Linked DNA regions of Sus scrofa. The protein of the gene in region 2 purifies or fractionates together with the protein of the main gene of each other region. This does not show direct contact. Links are inferred from orthologs where the notes say so. Each region holds a gene or a part of one and is shown on either strand. Other genes may lie near its edges. The genes, in order: EWSR1 and PRMT8.

Region 1 (3,813 bases), on a different chromosome or scaffold from region 2:
CTGGTTACAAGAGATCAACTTGTAACCTAGATTTTGTCTACTGTAGAGGTAAGAAATTAGCTCTGGCAGACACTCATGAGATTACTTCTGAAATGCACTGTGGGTAATCAGAGTGAATTTAGTAGTTTACATCTGCTAGACATCCTATGCAATGGTGAGTGTTACACTGATTCCTGTACGGCCCCAATTCGGTGGACCTAGCATGTTCTCCTATGGTTGAAGTCCCATTTGATACTCCATTGCAACAGTAAATCCAAGCCATAGCTGGGGTGGGGGTGGGTAATATATTAATTGGTCTGAATAAATCATCCCTTTTGGTTCCTTTTGCTTAATTTTTCAATCCTTAACACTTTAAAACAATTGTCTGTCTCATGATCAGTGACAGCTACTCTTCCACTGGAAAGAGGGGGCTTGTGACCATTTCAGCTCTTTGGAAAAACCAGTACTTCCACATCCTCTCTGGTCTACTTGCTGACTCTTGGACTTTGTTTAAAATAGCTCAAGTTCACTTGCTACAACCCTGTTACAAACTGTTAGGGCTAGGGGGTAACAGAAACCTTGGTTTTCTCCTTGGGATTAAAGTTGATTTTTGTCACTTAACTAGGATGTCTTTCAGTTCATCTGAGCATGAGAGGAGAGTGTGTGTTAGTCTGTCTGCCTCTCTGTGTGTGTGTCCCTGCTATTTCCATTATGGAGACCTCAAGGCAAATTTAGATTAATGTATAGAAGTTCAAGTTAGGAAATGGTTTTTTTTTTTTTTTTTTTTTTTTTTGGTCTGTTCTTCATAAATGAGAAACTGACCCACAGATCATCCAAGCTTGTACATGCCATGGACTTAAACAAATGTTATTCTAGCCTAAAGTTTGCATTAAGTTTTTTGTTTTGTTCGTCGTAAGTTTGTTTGTCCCTGACAGTCTTTTTTTGAGAAAAGGCATTTTCTTCCTGAACAAACCTCCTCCTCTCCCAGATCTCTTAAATTGACAGCACATAATACTGTAACTACTTTCTATAGTTATTGATAATGGAATAAATGGAGCGTGTTAATGTCTTTTCTGTGGATGTGATTAATTCTCCCCCATCTTTAGCGTTCTCTTCCAGCGGAAACAGTTGGACCAACAGTGGGTTTGATGTATTTATTTTAAATTGTATTTATTTTCCAGACTCAATTCTAACATTCCTTATTGCTCATAGATTGTAGTGTTCTTATCCAAGAGTTTTGTGGTTGAGAAAAAAGTCTTCACTTTTTTATTTCCCCTTTTAGACCACAGGATGGTAACAAACCCGCTGAGACTAGTCAACCTCAATCTAGCACAGGGGGTTACAACCAGCCCAGCCTAGGATATGGACAGAGTAACTACAGTTATCCCCAAGTTCCTGGGAGCTACCCCATGCAGCCAGTCACAGCACCACCATCTTACCCTCCTACCAGGTCAGTCTTCTCACTCTTCTTCTTGTGGCCAATGAGCTAGTAGAATAAAAAAACAGATTTTTTTCAAGCTGTTGACCTGCCTGCTTCTGCTTCCTCAGGTGAGATATATTATCTGACTCTCCCAGTGATAAACCAGACCATGTATTGTGGATTAAAATCTTAGTCCTAGGTTCTGACAGCCAAAAACTTTGCTCTCTGAATACAAAAACATTTTTACCACTTTAGGTTCGTTCTTTTAATTTTGTTCTTTTAGTTTATTCAGATGAGAGACAAGTACTTGAAAGCAGGTAAACAGAACCATGGAAGCCACCTTCTCGAATACAGTTGGGTAAAGTGCAGGACATTATTTTAGAAAAAGAAACTTCACCTTAATAATTTTATATTGAATTTAACTCAGAGGTTCATTCATGCACCAGTCTTTTAATGGTTAGGCCAAGGCTTTTCTTTTTTTTTTTTTTTTTTTTTTTCTTCTTTTGGCTACACCCATGGCATGCAGAAGTTCCTGGGCCAGGGATTGAACTGACACCACAGTGGTGGCAATGCCAGGTCCTTAATTCACTAAGCTGCCAGGGAACTCCCTAGGCCTTTTCTTTTGACTAAGGGTTTCCTTGTTCTGCATTTTTGTCTTTATTAACCACACCAGCAGCTACAACAAAAACCAATTTTGGTTTGTTTGGGTTTTTTGGGGGGGTTGTGGTGGAGGATTTTTGGTTTTTTGCCATTTAGGGCCGTACTCCCGGCGTATGGAGGTTCCCAGGCTAGGAGTCAAGTCAGAGCTGTAGCTGCTGGCCTACACCACAGCCACAACAACACAGGATCTGAGCCACATCTGCAACCTACACCACAGCTCACAGCAACACCAGATCCTTAACCCACTGAGCAAGGCCAAGGATCAAACCTGCGTCCTTATGGATGCTAGTCAGATTTGTTAACCACTGAGCCATGACGGGAACTCCCAGTTTTGGTTTCTGTATAAAGTTGTTTTACATTTAATTTGATGCAGATTTTCAAGTAAATTGTCTGAATTGTGTCAACTTAGCTTTGGTAAAATTAACAGTTCCCTTTTTTGTACTCATTTCATTGGTTTATGCATTAAAGTGCAGCAGACATGAACAGGTTTAGGAGCAAATACAGCTGACTGGGTAAGTGTGTCTGTATGCTTGGAGCAGCAATGGGCAGGGCTTGAGCAGTTCTCCCCAGGACCCACCCACACCTGTAAGCCTGAGAGCATTTCATCTGGCCACTTGGTGCACTTGGTGTGAAGAGAGGCTTTTGAATACTTACAGCTGTGGTGAGGGAGGTAGTGATCGAGTCTTGGTTTAAATGTTCTTAGAATTGTAAAATATGTTGTCTTTTTGTCTGGGTCGGGGGTTTTTTGTTTTTGCTTTTTAGGACCACACCTGCTGTGTATGGAAGTTCCCAGGCTAGTGGTCGAATAGGAGCTCCAGCTGCCGGCTTACGCCATAGCCACAGCAACTCGGGATATGAGCCACGTCTGCAGCCTACACCACAGCTCACGGCAACACCAGATCCTTAACCCACTGAGCAAGGCCAGGGATCAAGATACCCAAGAGCTCATGGATATTAATCAGGTTTGTTTTCACTGTGCCACAACAGGAGCTCTCCTTTCTTGTTTTGTTTTTTTGTTGTTGTTGTTTTTTTTTTTTTTTTTTTTGTCTTTTTGTCTTTTTTTTGTTGTTGTTGTTGCTGTTTCTTGGGCCGCTCCTGCGGCATATGGAGGTTCCCAGGCTAGAGGTCGAATCGGAGCTGTAGCCACCGGCCTACGCCAGAGCCACAGCAATGCAGGATCCGAGCCGCGTCTGCAACCTACACCACAGCTCACGGCAACGCCGGATCGTTAACCCACTGAGCAAGGCAGGGACCGAACCCGCAAGCTCATGGTTCCTAGTCAGATTCATTAACCACTGCGCCACGACGGGAACTCCTCCTTTCTTGTTTTTTATTACCATGATTCATCTAGAGTTTAATACTAGTTCTCTTAAGCTTTATTTCTGTGTAAGAATTTACTTTTGGTTAGTGTCTCTGCCATGTAGTTGGTATATGTAATGATGAATCTCAGTCTAACATTCATCTTTCATACAGTTGCCATGATTCTAATGTCCTCTGGCCCATCTTTTCTTGGTTTTTTTTTTTTTTTTTTTTTTTTTTCTTTTTGCCTTTTCTAGGGCTGCACTCGTGGCATATGGAGGTTCCCAGGCTAGGGGTCTAATTGGAGCTGTAGACGCCGCCTACGCACCAGAGCCACAGCACCTCGGGATCCAACCCACGTTGTGACCTACACCACAGCTCACGGCAATGCCGGATTCTTAACCCACTGAGCAAGGTCAGGGATCAAACCCTCAACCTCATGGTTCCTAGTCGGA
Region 2 (3,813 bases):
GGGGAGGCCAGTGCAGAGGACAGGGGCAGCGTTCACTCGCTCTGCAGGGCACCCAAGGAGTGTTATTCTGTCCGTCCCTCTCTGTCGGACCAGACTATAAGTTCTTGTCTGTCTTCGCTTCCCCCAGGGCTCCTGGAGTCCTGTCTCTGGAATCACAGGGGAGCCTTGTCCTAGGCACGCAGGTGGAGGTCCTGGGGCACTAGAGGCAGGAGAAGACATCATCCTGGGCCTCAGGAAGGTCACCATTAATGCAGGAGGAGGGACTGACCCAGAGCCCCACAGCCACGTGCAGACATCAGGGAAGAGTCTTCAGAAAATGTGCACAGAGAAAGAAAAGGGAGGCTGTTAAAACACTTTCAAGTGTTTATAAAAATAAGACAAACAAGTCTTGCAGGCAAGTGATTAGGCAGGTGGGTCCAGCATCTATTTGCCAGTTCTTTTTCAGGATAAAAAATAAATGAGGTACGCTATTTGCATTTGCCAAAATCCCATACTCTGTCCCCTTGTGAAGATTCCTGGTGCATCCTGGGTCCTTGCTTGAGTTCCTGCTCTTAGGTCTTGGGTCTTGACTCCCCCCTCCCAAGCCTTTTGGTGAAGATTAGCCTTCCGAATCTCCCTTCCCAGGGGTCGGGCTTCACATGTGTGAAGCAGGAGAGTCACGCAAGTTGGGGAGTGATCAGGGCCAAGCGTCTGACTCCTTACAGAGAGGCCTTATCTGATTAAGCTTTGATGAAACGCCACACCCCGGAGAGCAAATCATCGTTAGACACTGACAGGCACGCTGTCCCCAGCACCACCTGCTGTGAAGGTGGGGAGTAAAGCCTGATGCCCTTTGCCACCTAGAGCTCTCCCATCCACGTTGATTTTCATGAAACTCACATTCAAGGACAGAGGTGGCGTTTTGTTTTGTTGTTCACTCCCGAGTACAGACCATTGTTTAGTTGGCCCAGAAAAGCACAGGCATTGTGTGGTTTTCTTCAGAGGATGGTGCAGAGTGAGTTTCAGAGCAGGGACACGTGTAAGCTTTCACAGGAAACATTCTGATAGAACCAGCCACCAATCCATCACCCTGTCAGTTGCATAGCAGCACCTAAGATAGCTTTGCTCTGATCTTTATAGACGTGGATGCAAAACAAGGCTCCGAAATTAAGTGTACATCCTTGTCAAATGATCAAAAGCTCAATGAAGTTTCTCCTGCCACAGAGGGATGGGACAGTCCTGGAAGGGACACAGAGGCAGAGGCCGCTTAGAACAGGGGCTCTGTCCTGATCCTACCCGCTTTACCTCTTTGTTGGTCACCAAGGAGACAGTGTCAGATAACGCATGCCTTCTGCAGAGCCCCAACCGTGAGCCCCCGTGTCACCTGTGCTATTTCATTTAATCAGTACAGCCTCCCACTGAGTAGATGTCACTTTCCTTGGGTGTTCTCTGGGGAACTGGAGTTTGGTTGGGTCAAGCGACTTGCGGATAGTCACACAGCCAACAATGAGACGATCCAGCTCACTTAAGCCCACGTTTCTTGAGCGCACAGCCCATGCTTTTCTGCCAAAACACGGAGTTGCCTTCCCCACCAGCCCTAGGTGGACACCTCCTGGGGCCAAGCAGGGGCTGTGAACAGGGCAGCAGAGGCGGCCTCTCTTCCTTCTGTGGGTCTGAATCATCACTGGTAGCCTGACGTGGGGGTGAGGACCCAGAAACGAGTGTGAGAATCGTCGCTTATCATACCTGGGCTCTGTTTCCACAGCCACCGTTTCTCCTCTCCAAGCTTCAGTTTCCATACAGGTTCTAGGTGAGAATAAACCCAGTGTGTTTCCTTCAAGGACTTGTTGGGATGATTACATGACATGGTGCCTGTCATGGGCTTAGCACAGTCCCAGGCACATAGGAGCTGCTCAATGCATTCTGCAGAGGAAGCACTCAAGGAGTTTTCACTTCTCTTAGTCTAAAGGAGCTTGGTGAGGGGACAGGTGTGCTGCCACCTAGAAGGAGGATCAGAACAGCACAGCGCTGGCACCTGTAGATCAGCATGTTCTGATGTGGTGGTGGTGGTGGTGGGGGCTCATGGTTCCCGGCCAGGGTCCCTGCACAGTGTGGCTGTGGGGTTCTTATTTTCCAGTCATCACAATCTTTAAGGGGAAGGTGGAAGAGGTGGAGCTGCCCGTGGAGAAGGTGGACATTATTATCAGCGAGTGGATGGGCTACTGTCTGTTCTACGAGTCAATGCTCAACACAGTGATCTTCGCCAGGGACAAATGGCTGGTGAGCATGCTGCATGCTGTCCCCTCGTTGGTCTGCTGGCTGCCTTGCTGCTCACCCCCTGGCCTGCAGCCTAGAACGACTATGAGGACTTCAGAGAGGACCTAGGCTAGAAGGTCTTAGCTCCCAGGCCCCCTTCTTTAAACCAGGTCAGCATCCCGGGACAGAATGATCGTCCCCCGGTCCACATGTCCCCCTTGGCCTCTTTTGCCATAATGCTCTGGTGTCCAAAGTCTGCTCTGGTCAACATGGACTAAGGACTTGCCTGGCTGCCAAAGAGGGCAGCGTGCTCTTGACCTTGGCTTCCCCAAGCCCCAAAGTCAGAACGTCTTCCACCGCCCCTCACTGGACAGACCTCTGCCCTCTTCATTTGTTCTGCTGCCCCCCATCCCCCACCCCTAGGTCTCTTGAAGGTTCCCTGGTACCAAAATAAAAACCAAGCAGCCCAGCCCAGCCCAACCCCAGCCCTGGCCAAGGCGGCAGTCTGTGGAATGAGAAATGCTGGCAAGGGGGTGCCTGTCTGGTGACTCGATGTGCCGTTCAAAATGTGATGTCTTTGTCAGGTGAATAGATTACGAGACCCATTTCCCCACAATTCATCAACAGAAACCTGGAGGGCTTATGTTTCCAGACCGGGCAGCTTTGTACGTGGTAGCAATCGAAGACAGACAGTACAAGGACTTCAAAATCCACTGTAAGTCACCTTTTGATTGTTGGGCTTTCTCTGTGTGTGTGTGTGTGTGTGTGTGTGTGTGTGTGTGTGTGTATTTGTGGTGGGAAGGACCTATGGGCCCGGGGTTGGCAACGGGTCTTGTGGACACAGCTGCTGGACTGGGCCTCTGTGACCCTTTCTGGCTTCTTCTCTCTAGATGTTTCCCCTGGTCCCAAGGGGTGGGGGGGTGCTTCAGAGAAGAAATGAGCAGTGCCTTTGGTGGAAGATGAAGCAGGGAGAGAATGAAGGTCGTGTGAGTGGCAAATGAAGGGGGCTGAGGTTTCGCAGAGCCGGCCCAGTGGCTGGACGCTGCTGGCGGTTAGTCATCCCCAAAGTCCATCTGGGAGCAGGGATCACTGTTCTCCTGCTAAGCTATTCCTGTTGAGCCTGGCTTTCATCCCCCTCAAACTTTTCAACATCATATCGATTCTCCTTCCAATCAAGTAAAATATGGGGCAAGATGTGCGTGTTGGGAGCTGGCAGAGGACACACCCACATCTGTATTCATAATGGCTTATCAGCTGAAAACTTGCTCCCTTGAAAAAAAAAAAAAGACCCCAAACTCTTCAGTGTTTTATCTGGTCCCCAAACGGCTGTTTTGTCCTATTGCATTTCAAGGGCACCAGTTCTCAGTGACACAAGCTGGTCCTCCAGGATAGTAAACCAATTATGTTGTCACAAGGTTTAGAAAGAGTCATGTCTCCTCAACTGGAACTAAAAGGACAGGAGTTCCTGTCGTGGCTCAGAGGTAACGAACCTGACTAGTATCCATGAGGTTATAGGTTCCATCCCTGGCCCCACTCAGTGGGTTAAGGATCCGGTGTTGCTGTGGCTGTGGTGTAGAC

The links.
Region 1: the proteins of PRMT8 (region 2) and EWSR1 purify together in Homo sapiens (affinity purification with mass spectrometry; 3 studies listed by BioGRID and IntAct, counting the BioPlex papers as one, with this or other methods). This does not show direct contact. The link is inferred for Sus scrofa from reciprocal best matches to the Homo sapiens genes PRMT8 and EWSR1.

What each region holds. Positions count from the first base shown.
Region 1 is NC_010456.5:46,422,162-46,425,974, forward strand, and holds part of EWSR1 (RNA-binding protein EWS), read left to right. Parts: intron 1-1,261; coding exon 1,262-1,429; intron 1,430-3,813. UniProt on the Homo sapiens protein: Binds to ssRNA containing the consensus sequence 5'-AGGUAA-3'. Might normally function as a transcriptional repressor. EWS-fusion-proteins (EFPS) may play a role in the tumorigenic process.
Region 2 is NC_010447.5:66,688,057-66,691,869, reverse strand, and holds part of PRMT8 (protein arginine N-methyltransferase 8), read left to right. Parts: intron 1-2,116; coding exon 2,117-2,259; intron 2,260-2,862; coding exon 2,863-2,950; intron 2,951-3,813. UniProt on the Homo sapiens protein: S-adenosyl-L-methionine-dependent and membrane-associated arginine methyltransferase that can both catalyze the formation of omega-N monomethylarginine (MMA) and asymmetrical dimethylarginine (aDMA) in proteins such as NIFK, myelin basic protein, histone H4, H2A and H2A/H2B dimer.